Linked DNA regions of Drosophila melanogaster. The protein of the gene in region 1 interacts with the protein of each later gene in a pairwise test. Each region holds a gene or a part of one and is shown on either strand. Other genes may lie near its edges.

The links.
Region 2: the proteins of SkpA (region 1) and Skp2 interact in a two-hybrid assay, tested with the Drosophila melanogaster proteins (2 studies listed by BioGRID).
Region 3: the proteins of SkpA (region 1) and CG13085 interact in a two-hybrid assay, tested with the Drosophila melanogaster proteins (2 studies listed by BioGRID).

Annotation. Positions count from the first base shown.
Region 1 is NC_004354.4:653,864-658,645, reverse strand, and holds SkpA (SKP1-related A), read right to left. Parts: upstream 2,533-4,782; 5' UTR 1,862-2,532; exon of another isoform or gene 1,548-1,861; 5' UTR 1,537-1,547; coding exon 1,048-1,536; 3' UTR 747-1,047; downstream 1-746. Other genes in the region: Hmt4-20 (histone methyltransferase 4-20), read left to right, coding at 4,563-4,782.
Region 2 is NT_033777.3:4,334,245-4,339,828, reverse strand, and holds Skp2 (S-phase kinase-associated protein 2), read left to right. Parts: upstream 1-2,154; 5' UTR 2,155-2,222; coding exon 2,223-2,281; intron 2,282-2,486; coding exon 2,487-3,360; intron 3,361-3,420; coding exon 3,421-3,820; intron 3,821-3,883; coding exon 3,884-4,043; intron 4,044-4,099; coding exon 4,100-4,286; 3' UTR 4,287-4,418; coding exon of another isoform or gene 4,419-4,712; 3' UTR 4,713-4,950; downstream 4,951-5,584. Other genes in the region: CG1103 (uncharacterized protein), read right to left, coding at 325-785, 1,526-1,757; CG14645 (uncharacterized protein), read right to left, coding at 4,419-4,712.
Region 3 is NT_033779.5:19,421,789-19,430,183, forward strand, and holds the start of CG13085 (uncharacterized protein), read left to right. Parts: upstream 1-2,261; 5' UTR 2,262-2,424; intron 2,425-2,480; exon of another isoform or gene 2,481-3,021; intron 3,022-4,417; coding exon of another isoform or gene 4,418-4,430; exon of another isoform or gene 4,431-5,106; intron 5,107-5,298; exon of another isoform or gene 5,299-5,332; intron 5,333-5,420; exon of another isoform or gene 5,421-5,459; coding exon of another isoform or gene 5,460-7,250; exon of another isoform or gene 7,251-7,436; intron 7,437-7,613; 5' UTR 7,614-7,619; coding exon 7,620-8,342; 3' UTR 8,343-8,395. Other genes in the region: Alp12 (alkaline phosphatase 12), read left to right, coding at 5,460-7,250.

The DNA of each region.
Region 1 (4,782 bases):
AAGCTTCAAGTAAAGGTCCTTTGGCTACTTTGTTCAGCATTGGCAAGCGAGACAACAAGGAAAACTTCAGGGAAAAAAGTGCAAAAACATCATACTGTTTATATATCAGCGGACACCTAAAAATTTGTATTTCAAATCATTTTTAGCTCAACCCAGTCTAAGCCAGAATGGAATGCGCACAAGATAATTATCTTTCGAAGTATTCATAATTTCAAAAGCAAACAAAGACAAGGTTAATATGAAAATTATAAATATCCCCCCGTTCTTCGATTCTTACAAAATTACTGCTTTCTTCTAAAATCCTAAAACCATGCTGTACCCCAGACGATATAAAAAAAAGATATATAAAGCGTCACAAATCTAATTTCCACACCCGTCGTAGCTTTTTAAAAGCAACATGAAAAGCTTTTTAAGGGCTGCTAAACGCTCCGCATATGAGAACATGCGTTGGCGCGCATTTCAATTGCACACTAAGTGGCAAAGTGGCAGCTACAGTATTACTCGCTATTCGCCGAAAGCGTGATCTTATGAATGTAGTTTCTATAGATAAGATAATCTAAGATATATATGTACCTTCTTGGGAACACGTAAAATTTTACCGACTGGACCATAAATGGCATGCGTATCCATTTCAAACGCTTGCAAACGTTTCTAAACACAAGATAACGAATAAAGAGCACTTCTTAATTTGAGAAGTCCTTGGACCCTAACCCCTCCGGGAAGCCCACAAAATAGGCTGTGTCTTTGTGTTGGGTAGTTATATTTATTAAAGTGAAATCAAGTGTTACTCCAATAGGTTAAAGAGAGTGTTACAATCTCGCATATGTATGTATATGAGATATATTTACGACAAAAAATGAACCCCGCGAATCAAATCAGCAACAGATCATTTATACACAATTTAAATCGAGTCTCTGCTGGGGTTAAAAATAAAAAAAAATGTAAATGAAAGTAGCAACTAAGTAAAGTTGCAATGCTGCAAATCCAATTCGTTCCCGAATCCCCTAGCTGTTTCAACTTAATGTTGGTCCCGCGAAATGCCGCGCTTTACTTCTCCTCGCACCACTCGTTCTCCTTGCGCACCTGCTCCTCCTCGGCGGGCGAAAAGTCCTTCTTAATGTTGAAGGTCTTGCGTATTTCCTCGGGAGTCTTTCCCTTAATCATGTTTGCAACAGTCTTGCAGGTGAGCTCCAGAAGGCCCTTAATGTCCAGATAGTTCGCTGCCAATATCAGCTCAAACAGTGTGCCCTGGTCGACTTTTAGGAAATCTGCATCCCATGAGATAATGTCGTCTGTGCGCTTCTCCTTGCTCTCATCATCCTCCGTTGGCTGGGGGTCGTCCTTGTGGTAGTGAGCCCAGGTAAGCACCTTGCGAAGAATCGTCGAATTCACATTGGGCAACGGCACAATGGCATTCTCATCGTCCTCCATGCCGCAGTCCTCCAGCATGGTCTTGATAGTGCCGGAGCACTTGGCGATCTGGATATCCGTGTCAAAGATCTCCTCATCCGAAGATTGCAACTTGATGCTGGGCATTTTGGGCTTTCCTGCAGTTAAGTTCAGTATAAAACATTAGGTTCTAGTTGAGAAATGTGTGGCAGTGCAATCAGTGTGTTTTTTAACAGTGTGTGGATCCCAATAGTCATTTCAATGCGTTTGCTTCGCATGCACCAAGTCGTCAATTATTGATAACAGATGTAAGCATATAAGCATGCGTGTAAATGAATATAAGCAACTAGGATGCAAACAATCATTTGTGAATTTTGTATGTTCATATCCCTGCAGTTTGCAGAGTCGCTCTCTTTAAAATTCAAACCGACTAAAATGAGGTCATATCAGATCAAAATTTGTATCGTATTACTCTTGCAGGTTATGCCTGTGTGGAAATCACCGTTGTTTTCGTACAAAGATAACAAACGATTGTGCACTTTCGATGTTTCTTTCGTGATGATTCAACGATGAAATGGTGATGAAGGGATAAGTAGAATCGAAACATAGAGAACGGCACTTTCCAGAAATGCTCACCCACACATCCACTCACCCCCACACAAGCCGACTCTACCACAGATGGATGCGTGCGTATGTTCGTTTTTCTTGTGGTTGCGAAAGCGTTCTTGCTTGCTATTTGTAGGCTTTTTATTTGTTTTCCGACTAACCTTACGATGATGCCTTTAAACGTACTGACACTATTTCCACGCAGGCTCCAACTGAGATATAAATCAACACACCAAATTCACAATACTCACGTAAAAAACGAAACGGCTATAGTGACCAGATGGCGAAACTCTAAAAACACCTCTAAACGTCTTTATCGAAGGCACGAACAACAACTAGCCACAATGAAAGAAAACTGGCGGGAACCAGGTGGACCTGGTAATGGTAACTTGCAGCACAGATTGGTGGCGAAGTCGAAAGCAGAATACGCATTGATAAATCTGAACACTTTCACACCGAATTGCACAGTAAACGGAAATTAATTTCTCTGAAAACAAATTACACCGATACTTTCAAATGGCGAATAGAGAATGGTGAGCGTCTCCGCTAACTGCGGTGGCAGTTTTAATCGTAGCAATCGATGGCATTCAATTATCGATACATATCGCACTGACTTCAGTGGTCGAAGCATCAACGTCTTTTTACATCACTAATCCGAGTATCGCGGAAAAAAAGCAGCCGCATTTTGTAAACTAAGTCCGAATTAGAGCTGATACAAGTCCCGACTTATTCGTCAAGAGGAGCGGCGGTAGCAAATAGCAACAGCGACACTTGGTGCAAAGAACGCAGAGGAGAAAGAAGTGAAAAAAGCATACATACATACGCACGTACACACGTCTCGCTAGTAGAGGGAATATATGTATATGCATACGGCTGGGTTTACGTGTGCTTGTGTGTGCTACAGCCGCTTCTAGGCGTGAAAGAGCGAGGGATACATTCTCTTCCCATACTCGCGACTTTTGGAGCGTCTCGCGAGCGAAAGAGAAAGCACGAGCCATGGACGGCGGTTGGAAGTTTTTGTGGAACAAAGGCGTCAAGAACTAAAATGATTTGGGACTGCAAGCGCGATTTATTTTGGGTACGCAGCCAAAGCCAAGCCATCCAAAACGGAGTCCAGCTCCAATCCAGTGTGTCGCCGTTTGTATATGTGAGTCTCGACGAAAAGCCGTGGAAAGAGACGGACACACGCACAGAGAAGCAGCAGACAAAGCATCGTTTTGCGAGATTGAGCGAGAGGCACAATATCGCCTTAGTTAATAAATTCATTTAAGGTAAATGCAGACAACAAATCGAAAAAGTGCAAAAAAAAAATCGGAACAGCATGAAGTGCATAAACACAGCAGACTGTGCGTGCATGTGTGTGTGAGTGTGTGTAACAGGCGCCGCCATTTTTCGTTACCATGCAACCAGCCAGCGTCTAGGGTTGGCAACCGCTTCGAAATGCTGTTAACAACAAAAAAAATTGGCGAACTCAAATTACAAAGCTACATCCACCCAGCGAAATTTATTGTAAACACCCGTTTTTCGGTTACCCCGCACACAAGTGTACTTAATTTGCAAGCCTTTGCGCACTTGGCAACCCTTCATCTTCCATTCTCACTGCGCATATGCCTCCCTCTCTCTCTCACCTGCGTTATGTGGTATGCGTTTGTAAACAGCTGAGAGAGCAATTTGCAAACGACATTCGTTTCCATTCAGAACAAATCGACCAACAAACAAATATTCAATTCCAGCGATGTTTCCCAGCACCACCCACTTGTGTTTATGATAGTTTATGCCCAGAAAGGTATTTCAGTTGTTGCACAGACTCAAGAAAATACAAGATTTGCAATTACTGTCTGCTGCGCATGCAAATCGATAAGACATTTTTGTTATGCTCGCCTTTTGTTCACCAGCATATAAATATATACGCGTACCCATTCATTTTAAATATTTTCGGCAGTAAGTGTGTGTATTCCAGGATTACCGAAGTGCCTTTTGTTTTTTGTGGATCAATACTTTTTTTTACATGTGCTTTCAAGTTAATTGATTTTTGTTAAACGTGTGTGTGCATGGGCTAAAAGGGCTTGGAATAAGTGCGAGCGAGAGGGATGGCTGTCGACGACATCAGTTACAAGCCCCCTCTTTCTCGGTCTCTCTCTCTCTCTTTCAAACGCGAAGCCGTAGGAATAAAAACTAAATTAGGGCCATTTTCAACGGAGCGAATATATTGGCAAAATGCCGGAACATATGGTTTGCGGATTGAGGATTATTGCAAGTCATCCAATCCTGTGAGAGAGTGTGTATGTATGGGTGCAGGACGTTTGCCTTTGTCCTAGTCTTGTCCTGAAAGCTTATGTCCATCTCGCTCTTTGTCGTGTTCGCAGACAACAGCGGCGTTGCCAGATGTAATAAAAGAGCTTATACCTGTCAGTGATTCAAATTCCAAAACAGCTGACAATTGCCGGGTTGATTGGGTTTGGTGGAATTGGTATATCTAAGATCGTATTAGTATTTGAGTGAAAAAGTGTGCACATCGTTTTGAATATACTTGTAATGCTGTTCATCCTTGCAGACTGTCGTGCAGAATGGTCGTCGGCTCTAACCACACGCGGCGCGGTGAAACTGGCAGCAGATTTACAAACAGCAGCAGCTCCAGCAGCACAAGCGGTGGCCCCACCGCTTCGGCCAGTAGCACCACCAGCGTAACGTCTTCACTAGCCACCAATTCCACGTCGACATCGACGGCTGCGGCTCTGTTGTCGTCCATGTCCCACAAGAGCCATGGCCCTCCGCCATCCGCACCTC
Region 2 (5,584 bases), on another chromosome or scaffold:
TAGAAAAATGACATTCGATTGTATTGTATGTATGTATATATGTAAAGGGTATATAAATATGGATAGGTGTGGGCAGTGCTGTGCGCTTTAGTTTGTCTTATTCCGATGAAAGATCGGCAGGCCAGTCAGGCGAAGTCATTGTACGCTTATTTAAACGAATATACCATAAACTGAAATGAGTATATAGACGGCCCTTGTTGTTGGCAAGGTAAAGGCATTAAGTAAGGCACAAGTACTTGAGCCACTGAGATTACTAGGTGTCGCTGCTCGTACGTTTGCCAAGCAACTTCGTAGAGGTTCATTTGGGAATCCTTCTCGCCTTCCTTAGTACAGCATTATGGCGGTCTTGTTTTTATCGTCACATGGCGCCTCCAGGCATTGGCGGTTGCGGAGGCCGAGTCGCTGGGCGTACAACAGGATGGCGATATTCAGCAGCACAACGACGGTGGATACCACGACCAGGTAAAAGCTGTAACCAAGATAAGCCAGTCCATTGCTGTACCAGTGCTGCTGCTGCTGCTCAGTTAAAAGAACGTTGTGTATGAAATATTGGTAGAACTGCACGAGCCAAGCTACAAACGCCACTATTTGCGCCCCCGCGGCGCATATGTTGGAAGTCAGGAGCAGCATCATTGTGCCTCCTTTTTTGGCCGCAGAGGCTGACTTTAGGACAGCGGCGATGGCAGCCACAGCGCAGGCCAGCAGTGCGAAACCGGTGCCCAAGGTAGTAAGTAGCCAGAGCCAGAAGCTAGTGTCGTCATTTTCTGTCCGAACAAAGGTATACACTGAAAATACGGTGTGAAATAACAAAAGTTAAACAGGATTGCTTTAAAAATTTTATATTTTATTTGCATCTCCAAAAGCTGTTAAGCTTCCACGACGTTTTTATTCTATGTTGCATATTTGTGGCTCGCAATATAATACCCTTGCAATTTTAAAAATTGTAAACCCCAAATTTCAACCATATTATATAAAAGCAAGTAAAATATGGTTCCCTATGTCCTCGCTTCTATTATATTTTTTGCGCCAAAAATTTCAATATTTTTCAATTTTGTTAAATAGAATGTAACTTCCCTTTAGCCCTAAAGTTTGTTGTGTCACTTGATTATTAATAAGAAAAACAAAAACAATTTTGGTTTTTACAATTTAATTTTTAAGCATATCCTTAGGATCTGCAAGATAAATAAATGTAATCGAAAAGTATACATAATGGTTAATTTTTGGATATGTCTGCACTGATCATGAGTATTATTCGGGTATTTAATTTTATCAACTCGCCCGATTATGTTTGTGATCTTCACAACTAAACAAATTTAAAAGTAAATCTATTTTTAACAACAGTCTTATCCAGGACAATATCGGTTTTCAACTAATACATGCCCCAATAATCAGCACATTTTCCTAATCGTATATTCATTCAGAAAGCGTCCCAAGAAGTTTAAAGAGGCTAATTCACGATGCAGGTAATGAGAAGATCACTCTCTATCTAGTTTTCCCTGCTATCTAGGCTACTTTGATTGCTCACCATCAACCGAATTTGTGCGGACTCCGAATCCGGGATTCAGGTGGTAGTTGCCGAAGAAGAGTCCGAAGTTGAATTCACCCTTGGCGTCCGACGAGTTCTTGCGGCGTGGAGTGGCCCGCACCCAGTGATTAGTGGTCATGCTGACGAGCAAGAGGCCAATAGCCAGGCAGCTGCCAAAGAAGGTGGAGAACACTAACGCCCGTGTGTGCAAGCTCATCTTGATAATGCTCATGGAAGACCGGTGGCATATGTAGAAGGCTATGCTGTTTTCACCATTAAGAAATGTCTAGGGCCCGACTCCAGCTGCAGCGAAGAAAGTTAGTAGGAAACGTTAGTAAGCGGAGGACGCAATGCCAGTGGCCTTGCAGCGTATTGCTTACCCTTTTATGACTATGTCGGCGGGATCAATTGCAAATATAGTCTTTGTTCGCGGAACAAAAGATTGTTGCACAGGTAAACAATTAATATAAACTGTCTTGCCCTTGTTTTTTTCTCAGAAGAGAAGACTGAGCGGATATTTTTTCTCAAAGAGTACGGTAGCATTAATTTGGGATTTGGTCTGGCAACCACGGCCCGTCTAGTATATTCGATAACGATACAATTCTCATACCAAAATGGCTCGACAACCCTGGTTCCATGCAAAAATAGCGCGAAGTTTTTGTGTTTACGGCGGTGAAAAAATAGATTTCGTGTAAATATGAGCAGTCGCAAGCACAGAGGCTCCGAAAACATGGAAAATTTGTGCCCGGTGACCAGGTGAGTTTTCCTTTGCTTGGGGTGTGGGTTCAAGCAGCAGACCACTGAACTGGTCGCGTGACGTCACACGCGCCACAAGTGTCCAAAAGAGGTCAAGAAAGTAACTTATTGAATTGCAGGGTTCTTGACCCTTTCTTTCATCAGCCATTCTGCTGATGAAGCACGATCGAACTGCACACTTTTAATAAATTTTCGACTATTGCAGAAAGCGCTCGACTAATAAGAACCACGTCTCTGTTGTGGGCGCTCTAGTTTCCACTACGAAGTCATCGCACTACGAGCACCCTTCCTCGCCCTCGGCACTAACTTTTGAGGCCCTAGAAGAGATGGGAATCGGAATGCTTGATTCCGAAGAAAGCAGCTCCTCAGCCCTCTCGGCCATCGCTTTGGCGGTTAGCGCCACCAGCGACGACAACTCAAATGAGACGACCCCGTGCGCCAGTGTGTCGCGCATGGCGCACCAGCTACAGCACACGCAACGGCTAAGTCTGGGCTCTACGGGGGACATCACACTGGATAGCCCAGCTGTGGAGGATTCACTGTCGATGTCCCGTCAATCGGCCGAGAAGCTGCAGATTCTGGCGCAGGCTAAGCGCTCGTCGTTGGGTTCTGAAGGTAGCGGCAATTCAAACTCGCCCAGCAAACGTTTGCGCAACCCCCTGGCTGCAGTCACCTGTAACAACCAGATTGATGGGACTGCTTCGCTCAATTTTCAGCCATCAACCAGCAGGTTGGCGCAAGTTCGCCAGGCAAAAAAGCCCTCGACAACAAATATTACAACCCGAATAGTGGCAGCGGACAGTTTCTTTGTGTTTCGCACCCCGGCCATGAGTGCCCACATCAACAGCGGCATAAACTACTTTGAAAGACTTTCAGACGAAATACTACTTGACATCTTTAAGTGGCTCCCGAAGAAGACGCTGCTGCGCATGGCTACCGTTTGTCGACGCTTTAACCGCTGCTCTCGCGATGAGACTTTGTGGACAAGGCTAGATTTGGGTTTGCGGACAATTAGACCAGGTGCCCTCGAGCAAATTGTACGGCGGGGAGTCCTTGTAATACGTCTGGCCCAGACTAGTGTAAGTTACATCTAACATTATGTTTTCGGGAAACAAGAGCATCTAATCTTTGAACTGTAGATCCAGGAGCCCGCATTTGCACCATATACAGAAGTGTTTAGGACCCGATTACAATATCTTGACCTGAGTATGGCTTCCATCACCCGAAGCTCACTGCTGACACTATTGTCCCACTGCCGCCAGCTAAAGAAAATAAGCTTAGAGAATATTGAGCTCGATGATGACATCTGTGCAGAGATCGCAAAGAATGAAGCTTTGGAGGCGGTCAATCTGACTATGGCTAGTGGCCTGACGTCCAACAGTGTTCGCCTGATGATGGAGTCACTTACCAGCCTAAGCAGCTTAAACATATCGTGGACTGACCTAAGTGCGGATGCTGTTACGGCGTTGGTTACCCACATTTCCCCCAACTTAATTCGGCTCAATATCGCTGGCTGCCGCCGCGTTTTGTTTGACTCGCGTAAGTAGTTCCCACCGTCTTCAATGATATATTTCCTTTTTGATTTGAATTTAATTTGTTTAGATGTTGCAACCCTGCAAAAACGGTGTCCTCAGTTGTTGGAGCTTGATCTATCTGATTGCAATAGTCTAACACCAACAGTCATTACTGCAATTATGAAGTTCAAGATGCTGGAATATTTGTCCGTCTCCCGATGCTATCTTATTCCAGCAACCAAATTTATGTAAGATTTTTCCAGCAAGCGTCTGATTAATCCCTACCCAGTCATTTTCCTTGCAGTGAACTTAAGAGTATGCCCTCGCTAACCTATTTAGACATATTTGGGATGCTGTCGGACACTGCAATGGAAGTCCTTGAGAAACAACTGCCAAAAATGGGTATAAACAAATTCATTCACAGTTCGGTATCCCGCCCGACTGTTGGCACGCGACGCACCTCCATTTGGGGTCTGCGCACGCGCGACTAAGTCTCGACTCTGCTGCTTCCGTTACCATTTGAATTTGTTTTGCTGCGTAAGCCACCCGTAACGCAGTTATTTTATTCTCAATTCAACAACATAAATAATCACATTTAGCTGTTCTTATTTTTGTGCGTTTGGTCACTGATCCGCTTCGCTAAGGGGCTCCACTGGTTTCTCCCATTCCCATTCCTCCCAGTTGACGCAGTTCTTGAGACTATCCATGAATCCTGTTTCGCTGGGGCACTTGATTTCAATGGCTGGTTTGTTAAGTGTCTCACACTTCCAATACGATGTGGCATCCCAATTGTTGCGGAAAACTACAATGTCTAGCTCGGCTTGGGTCTTGCAACCCGGCTGTCCGTCACCATCATAGGCGAGGGCAATGCCAAAAGAAATCACTAGTAGGGAGGTTAGAGCGAGCTGAACCTTCATCTTTCAAAAAATGTTCTATGGTCTACTGGAAGTACTCGAAGCCTTTTATAGTTACATAGTTGCAGCGGTATAGTATCCAAGTGCAGCTACTACCAGAAAATGCTTTTATAAATTGGCATTAATGTAAACACTCGAGAGAGGAAGGAAAAGATAACAGTACTTGCCCTTGACTCCAATCTGTTCAAACTAAAAAAGGTACAATGAGTCACCCAATTTTCCATTTAAAAATTCATTGTTTTTATACTATATTAAATATTTAAGAAAATAAACAAAAAATATGTCTTTTATCAAGGAAAGCATAATCAAGCCAATTCAAAACAAAATCATATAGGGAAACGACAAATATAAATATTTTCGATCTAGTTCGTAATCATAGGTTCAAGAACAAAGTTCGTATTGGACAGCCTGCCAAATTTAAAGATTCAGCAATATAAAAGTAACTAAAGCAAGAGAGAAGGCTATGGTCGAGTTCCTCGACTATCAGATACCCGTCACCCGTGGCAACATGGGTCAACTAACTTGCGCTGGGTATTTGTCTCTAGAATCTGTATGCTTAATCTCAACCTTCTAGCTTTTATAGTTCCTGAGATCTCGACTTTCATACGGACAGACGTACATGGCCAGATCGGCTATTGATCCTGGTCAAGAATATATGTACTTCATATGGTCGGGAACGCTTCCTTCTGCCTGTTTCAACGAATCTAGTATACTCTATTACTCTACGAGTAACGGGTAGAAATATAAAATTGAAACTATTTTGAGTCATCCCTCCAATTGGTAATTTTTTTATATATTAACGGAAATTTAAAGTGCGTTACAAAAGTAAAAATTCTTTTGGTGCTAGTATGCTTAACGGGGTGGACATTTCGGCG
Region 3 (8,395 bases), on another chromosome or scaffold:
ATTCCACTTCTGTAATAGGTTCGGGAAAAAGCGACGAGCTATCGCCCACTGACTTTTGGGGCCTTTGGGGTCTTGATAAGATATATAGACCCTATATTGGCCAATGGCCTACGTACTGAGCAGATAAAAGGCTTTTCTGGAATTAAATATCAATGTCTTTTGATTGGCTCAATGGAAGCTTAATTGGTTATATTTGTCGATTGCAAACAATTCAATAGTATTGCACTTATTTATTTCAAAATATTTGTGAGCAATGAATCTAACCCAATGTTTTAATTGCACATCAACTCGCTGCTAACAATTAACGATTTCGAAATCTATCGAAGCCACTCATCTTTCGCTAGCAATCGAAACAACACACTCTAATTGAATTTGTATGGCTGGGCGATAAGAATCTTGTTTCCAGTTGAAAGAACAGAAACAAGGAACAACAACAACAAAACACAGAGCAACTCGCTGAGCAAACGAAAATCGAACTCAAACCTGGCGATGAACTCACTGCACTATGAATTACGATGATGGAGAATCCAGAGGTGCTAAGTAGTTGGGGCTTAAAACGAGCTTTTAAACCCAAATAATCCAGAGATCCAGAGTGATCTGTAGATACTTAGTTAGAGGTTTCAAAACGCACAGACAATCGGAGAGACAAAGACAGCAGCTGTCTGGTCGTAAACAAATGGCATCCACTGAACGTATCTGCGAGATACAAAATATTGGGGAGAAAACGAAAGCGATTCTCGTAAGTGCAGAACCCCCCAACAACAAAATATTCATTTGTGCGCACTATGTCAGCCGAGTTTACATCATTCTCCAGCATTTCCATCTGCTGTCGTAACTCGAGATACTTTTACGAGGGGAAGGGGAAGGAAGTCCCCCCCCCCCCCATCGCACTACCACCACCACTCGTGAGAATGCACTTGGCTTCGATTGCTTGAAATATGTGAAAAATGTCATAATTTTAATAGATTAAGTGGGCACAATTTAATTGCTTTTGCTGCCTGTTGTTATGTTTGTTTGGCTATTTCGGTCATTTCCCTCCAGAAAAACACAGAAATACCGAATTAATTTCCATCTCAACACACCCACGATCTTAATCCGTTCGGGGCCCCGAGGCGAAAATTAATGGGGCTAACCAAAATTCTATGCTCTGCCAGATCTGGGCAAATATGTCATATATTCGAATGTCTTGTCCGTTGATAATTAGTTCCATAATTAGTGGAAATGCTAATGAAATTGAAATGTTTTGCGAGCAACGCGCCGAAAAGATTTGCCAAGAGTTAGTGGAATCTTAAGGCGAGTGACACGGATCCATAAATCTTGGCCAGTTTATTATATTATATTATTTTTTTTAGCTAACTGCTTCTGGCATTCCTGCTTTATCGTTTATCTTAGTGCTAGATATCTTTTGATGTTTGTCAACTTTTTTTTTTACTGCAAACTGTTCTTGCACTCGAAGTAAACAATTTCCCACGCTCCAACCTGCCACTAACACGATTCCACTGATTTTCATCAACTTTTTCCCGCCGTAGTTTGCCGTTAAACACTTTTTCGTTGCCTTTTGTTTTGATTAGGCTTGGTTTCTTATATGTATATTCTATCGCGTTATCTGTGCACTTTTGCCTGCACCTTTGGCAGTGTGTTGTCACATATTCTATATATTAATCCCAGAGATCGTAGGACGCCGTTGGGAGACCGCAATCGAGAGACTCCGAAAAACACACGCGCTGCGCTCGCGATTCAGTAAAAGCGTCGCAATCGACTGAAATCCAAAGGGGGGCCCGATGCTGAGGCTCCAATAGACGAGCGCTCCGGCTCTCTCGCAGCTGCTCACGGAGAGCGGGGGAGCAAGAGAGCGAAGCGTTTGAGAGCTGGTAAACAAACTGCACTGCGAAAAAATCTTCTTAGATTTATAGATGTATGGATGTATGGATAGGCATAGTATATTCAAAACGATAGCTTAGCTTCGTAATAGGGGCTATATCTAAAGTAATATATATCTAAAGGAATGTTTAAAAAGTATGTATCAGCGGTTACAGCTTGTGAAACCAGTATTATGATTATTGTTGTTTCTGAGTAAACAACTAATAAACTAGTAAACAAGTAGTAAACTAATTTTGAAAAATCGAATTTAAAAAAAATGTATTTTAAATCAGAGTCCATATTGTCGTATTTTATTTTCAGTGCCAAGAGAGCCAGTTAAAAGAGAGAAAGAGCCCCACCACGTAGCTTTTCACTTGGAGTGGCTTTTCATTTTGGCTTGCGGCCTGCGGCTGAGCATTTCGACCGCAAGTGGGAGGCACAGCGAAAGGAAACCAGAGCGGACGAAAATATTGTCGCCCGATTGGAGCTTTCCTTTGGGTGTGTGAACAGTGGGCCAGCTGCCAAGAAAACCAACCCCTTCGTTGCTGACGAATAAACGAAAACGTGAGTCAAAGGCATCCAATATCAAAACATTTCTGAAACTATCTTCAATTGTACAGACAATCCGCAAGATTAAATGTTTCATAAAATGACAGTGAAAATTGGTATAAACAAAATTCCTCTGGGACAGTCATGTTGGAAATGCTTATCACTTAACAGCTGCTTAGGCTTTACAATTGTTTATCGACAAACATAGAAGATAACTAATTATATACTTTCATGACCATGAACACTGTGATATACATTGATACGATCACAGAAAAGGCAGAAATGGGATCTCAAAAACTCTTTAACCTTTCGTCCCACTGTGCGAACCTTTCCCCGTAACCATAAGCGATCATTGCTCTGCAGTTGGAGTGCTCCCCTCGGCGGAAAACGCCATCGACGCTCAATGCCCAGACAGACCTAACCGATCTCGACAGATCATCTCGTCTTTGCTGTTACAGTGCGCACACGCAACACGAACAGAAGACATTGCGTGTCGAGTGGGCGATGAAGTGGGCGCGCACTCACTAATGGCAGCAAAGCAAGATTGATGCAACTGAGTTGCTGGAGAAGATCAAGATGAAGTTGGAGATGAAGCTGAAGCCTCTACTTCCTGTGCGAAGTAAAGCTTCGAGGGCAGAATATTTATGCTGAGATTTTAAGATCTCGAACGAATTTCAGTATTATAGTTATTATTATATTATTGTAATCTAAAAAGTGATCTGAAATATTATTTGTTATTTAACATGATTTTGCAAAAGCTCTATATGAAAGTTTCTTAAGATCTAGAATCCTACAAGCCCAGCCGATAAGCAAATTTTAGCGGGCTCTTAGACCACTGTGCGTAGGTGTAGGGCAAGTCAGCTGGAATTCTTCATAAGTGTTAGTGGCCTGGCCTTTAGTCATTTCTTAAGAATTTCTGGACACACAACTCTCGGCTGCAGATTTCGTTTTGCTTCACTTTTATATTTTTATCAAAAGACATTCCGAAACAGCGAAGAATTGTGTCATAAAGAAAATAAAGTGAGACGACATGTAGACTTTTATTTCGCTGATGGAGACTAAAAGAGCACTGTGGGGCAGCGAAGAAAGCAAATACAGCCCGGCTGATTAAGCTGCCTCTCTCAGACCAGATCATTCACATGAGTACAAGGGTTTCGAACTTGGGGCTGCAAGAAACCACACCCTCCTTGCTTTCTAGAATTGTAAATGATTTCACACTGGAAGTGCTGAGCGCGATGCTTTTATGTTCGATTCAAGGAATTAGGATTATTCATAAAAGTGCAAGGAATGCGCGAATCGGACCACAGCTATCGCAATAGCCACTTCCCGAATTAAAAGCTCATTCATTTACTTGTGCACTTTGCACATATGTATGTATGTACATAAGTATGTATGTATGTACATATGTATGTATGGACCCATGTACATATGAACGGGTTCAAAGATAAGACGAGCACTTGAAATTCATCATCAAGAATTTTAAAGCACGTAACACAACCATTTTTAATCGTGATTAATGATTGTATGCTTACGATAAGAATTTCGAAAAACAGTAAATATTGAGTTTCAAGAAATATTCAATAATAAATATTTTTGTATATTGGGAAATATATTAAACAAATAACACATCTTGTTCGGTCAATGACTGAAGATCACTCAAAACTTTTTTACATAATAACAATTTCTTAAAACAGAAGTGAATAACAGATTAATAACTAAAAAGATACACAGAACACACGTTGCCATTCAACACGTGAGGTACGTTTTAGCCACTCTTCACTGTAAACGAAAATTATTCAAGCGTGAGATTTTCGACTTCCTGTGTCGCCACCTGGCGGCCAACGGCAGAATCCTCAGCTACATGTTAATTAACTCCAATTAGCGACTGACCTTGAAGTCGCAGAATTATCTTTGCGGCTTTTGCCTACGTCACACGGTTTATGCTGTGGAATGCTCCGCTTGAGGAAGTCGCTTTTCCCCGAGGAAAAGTGGACCACCACTTACTTACCCAAATCGTCCATGGCGATGGTGTTGTTGTTTTTCCGCCCTGTGTGCGTTAGTGTGCGTGTAGTTTTCCGCTCTTGTCCAATTGGAATGCTCAGTTTTCTGGATTTATTTGGCACAAGCACACGCGTTTTTTAATTGATGCTGATTGAAAGCGAAGAGCGACAAGTCCACGCAAACACTTTATTTTCCTGTTCACCCGCAACTGAAAAGCGCGGAGTTGGCCGGAGACTAATTTTAAGCTGTTGCCAGCGACCGAATGGCGAGTATCGGTGGATTTCGCCGCGAGTTGGAGACGAGTTTTATATATGAATCACTTTAATTTTGGAGCGGCGGCGGTCATAAACAATACAAAAAAAAAAACATTGAATCACGTACACGAACGCAGGAACACACACAAGCACAAGCGCACGCTCGCTCAACTGGAGAGAGCGAACAGCTGATTAGCTATCGATAGCAGTTGGAACTATCGCACCGACCGAGGAAGAAATCAAGTGGTAAACTTAACTAAAATACTTATCAACTTACCGCTGTCGATAATACCAACCAACGGTTTAAAACTAACTGTTGGAAAGTTGGTAGGTGTTCCAACTGGAATTCTCGTCAGTGAGCGGCATTCAAATCGTATACAAATCATATTACCTTGTGTTCTGTGAAATATAAACATTCACTCACAGCTGTTCCCATGAAAAAGTACGAAAAGAACAGAATAATTTCAACGCTACAGTGTTTCTATGTTAAAATATTGGGGATGAGAAATTATTACATGTGTAAAGGGTTTAATAACTATTTGCATTAGTACTGTTACACTCAGAATTTAAACTTTATATATAATAATATATTGGCTTTATCATCTAAGATGATAAATATATAACGTTTATACCACTTTAAAATCAACCGAAAATATCGCATATCAAAGGTACTCACTTCTCTCTGTCTATAAAGTGTCTTTTATCTGTGGTAAACAATGATTAGTTAACAATCTGCAATATATCTCACATTTTCAGTCTGTGTAGAGATTAGGCCGATCCAGACGTTAATGAGAAATGGAAAAGCGAAGTGGAACGCCGATAAATAGCCAAAAGTTTCGAAAACTCAGCGATGTGGACATGACGGAAGTGCAGCTGAACAATTTGGATGACTCCAGTGCCAAGGAGACGGTGGAAATAGGTAGCTTTCAGGGCAATGACCAGAGCAATCCCGTGCAGCACACGAAATGGTTCAGATCCAGGCTCTTCCTCATATCCGTGGTTTTCTCGGCCCTCCTGATAACCGCCATGTGCATTGGCTTCGTTGTGCACTACGGCATGTCCGGCGATGTGGGCGACATGGAGACGGTGAGCTACTGGCCCGTAGATCTGCCCAAGGAGCAAAAGGAGTGGTACGATCAGGGAATCGATGAGCTTCAGAAGGCCGTTTCCAGGCAGTTCAATCGCCGGCGAGCCAAGAACGTAATCCTGTTCGTGGGCGATGGAATGGGTCCGAACACGGTGACGGCCGCACGGATACTCGGAGTCAAGGAGGAGGGACTCCTGCGTTGGGAGCAGTTTCCGGACATGGGACTGCTGAAGACCTACTGTGCCGACAAGCAAGTACCGGACTCGTTCTCCACGGCCACAGCTCTCTTTGGCGGAGTAAAGGTAAACTACGAAACGGGAGGAGTTGATGCAAATGTACCGCTGGGGAACTGCAGCGCATCCCTGAAGGAGGACCACCACGTTCAGACGATCCTCAAGTGGGCCCAGGTGGATGGAATGCGAACGGGTTTCGTGACCACCACCCGGGTGACGCATGCCACTCCGGCTGCCCTCTACGCCCACGTGCCGGATCGTCGATGGGAGTGTGAGAGCGGAATGCCAGCCGAGGCTCAGGGTCAGGGATGTATGGACATAGCTCGCCAGCTGATCGAACAGCCGACGGGTCAGAGCATAAACGTAATCATGGGCGGTGGTCGTCAGATGCTGGTCTCAGATGTAACCGGTTCAGCAGCCGATCCCCTGGACACTTGGGCCGGCCAGTCGAAGGATGGACGAGATCTCATCCGAGATTGGAGGCTAAAGAAAGCGGATGAGGGAGTGTCACATGCGGTTGTGCAAAACAATCGTGAGCTGTGGAATCTCAATGGTCAGGATGTTGACTACGTACTTGGTATTTTCGCCAATGGACACCTAATGTACGACCACGAACGAGATCGCAGTGACGCCGGCATGCCCTCGCTGTCCAATATGACCCTCAAGGCGCTGGAGGTCCTGGGAAACAGTGATAAGGGGTTTCTGCTCGTGGTGGAAGCCGGTCTAATCGACCAAGCCCATCACAGGGGAAACGCTCGAAAGGCGCTAAGTGAGGTGCTCGAACTGAACGCAGCCGTTGAGTCTACACTTTCCTTCCTCAAGTCATCGGATCGCCTGGACGAAACCTTGGTCATTGTGACCGCCGATCACTCGCACAGCCTGACCATCAATGGGCATCCCGATCGGGGATCCAGTATACTCGGCTTGGCGGGAAACTCGAAGACAGAAGGGACGCCGTACACCACGTTAACCTATGGCACCAGCTATCAGGGATTCCAGGTGGATCCGCAAACGCAGAGCCGCAAGGATCCAACTGCTGACGATATTACCGCCTGGGAGTACACCCAGCAGGCAGCAATCAACACGGACGAGAATCTGCACGGTGGCTCGGATGTAACGATTCACGCGGATGGTGCCATGTCCTACTTGTTCCACGGCGTCCACGAGCAGAGCTATGTGGCGCACGCCATATCGTACGCCCTGAGGATCGGAAGATTCCGGGATAGCTCCATCGCGGAAACTCTGGCCGAGCTGACGCCCATATAAGCGTAGAAACAAAAGCGTAGCCAACAAAACACTTTGATATATGTAGTTATAATGAAAACTGTTCTTGCCAAGCTTACAAATTAGATATAAGTCAAAGATTGGGTCACCGAAATAGGACATGAGTTAACTGAAACCATTGAAGGATTTTACCGAATGAGATTGTTGAATAAACATTAATTTGAAGAGAAAACATTCAACATTTACTTTGCCATCTTTGTTCTTTATCTTTATTACAATCCCATTATGTTGACAACCAATAATATTATTACCCTAGAAGCTAACTAAATCTGATGTTTAAGGCTAGTGCCTGCACAAATAAATGTGATTACTACTATTCATTAAAGGTTGCGGTTTTTTTTTTAGTGCAAAATGGACTTACTGCAACTGAACGACGATTGTTTGGATATTATATTTGGTTATTTGAGTTTGGAGGACCTAGCGCCGCTCTACAATGAAATTCCCTGTTTTGGAGGCGCCATCGAGAGACAGCTGCATCGATTCAGGGACTTGAGGTTCAGCATGAGAGAGCCGCCTGCTCTCCACGAAGATTTGCTCATTAAGTTGGGTGGCCAACTGAACAGCCTGCACATCAACGTGGGCTACTCCACCAAGGACCAGGACGTACTCCGGTACCTGAGGCCACTGTGCCAAGGGGCCGCCGAGAGCCGCAGGATTCGGGCTCTGAAGTTGGACCATGCCAAGTGGTCGGCGGAGATAGTGGGCACTGTGGGCCAGGTGGTTCCATCGCTGCTATTTCTGGACATGCGTCACTGCGATGTGCGAGACTACCAGATAGCACAGCTCTTGCAATCGGCAGATAAGCTAAAGGCACTCGCTCTACTCCACATTGACAATCAGACGGGTGATTCCTATCTGCAGCCGCAACTACTCAACAGATTGCCATCGCTGAAGCTCATTCACCTAACCACCTTGGGTTCCATGGGCTTTAACCCCGAAAACCTGACACGGCTGTGCCCGAACCTGAGCTTCCTCGTCAGTGACCTAATCAAGGGAGATTTTAAGATATATGGCCCGCCTGCCTACATACAGAACTACTACAAGTGCTATAATGAGTACTTCAAGACCGCCTGAGTACATGTGGCACAGTTTGCAGAGATCTCAGTGGAATTGGATTCTATATTTGA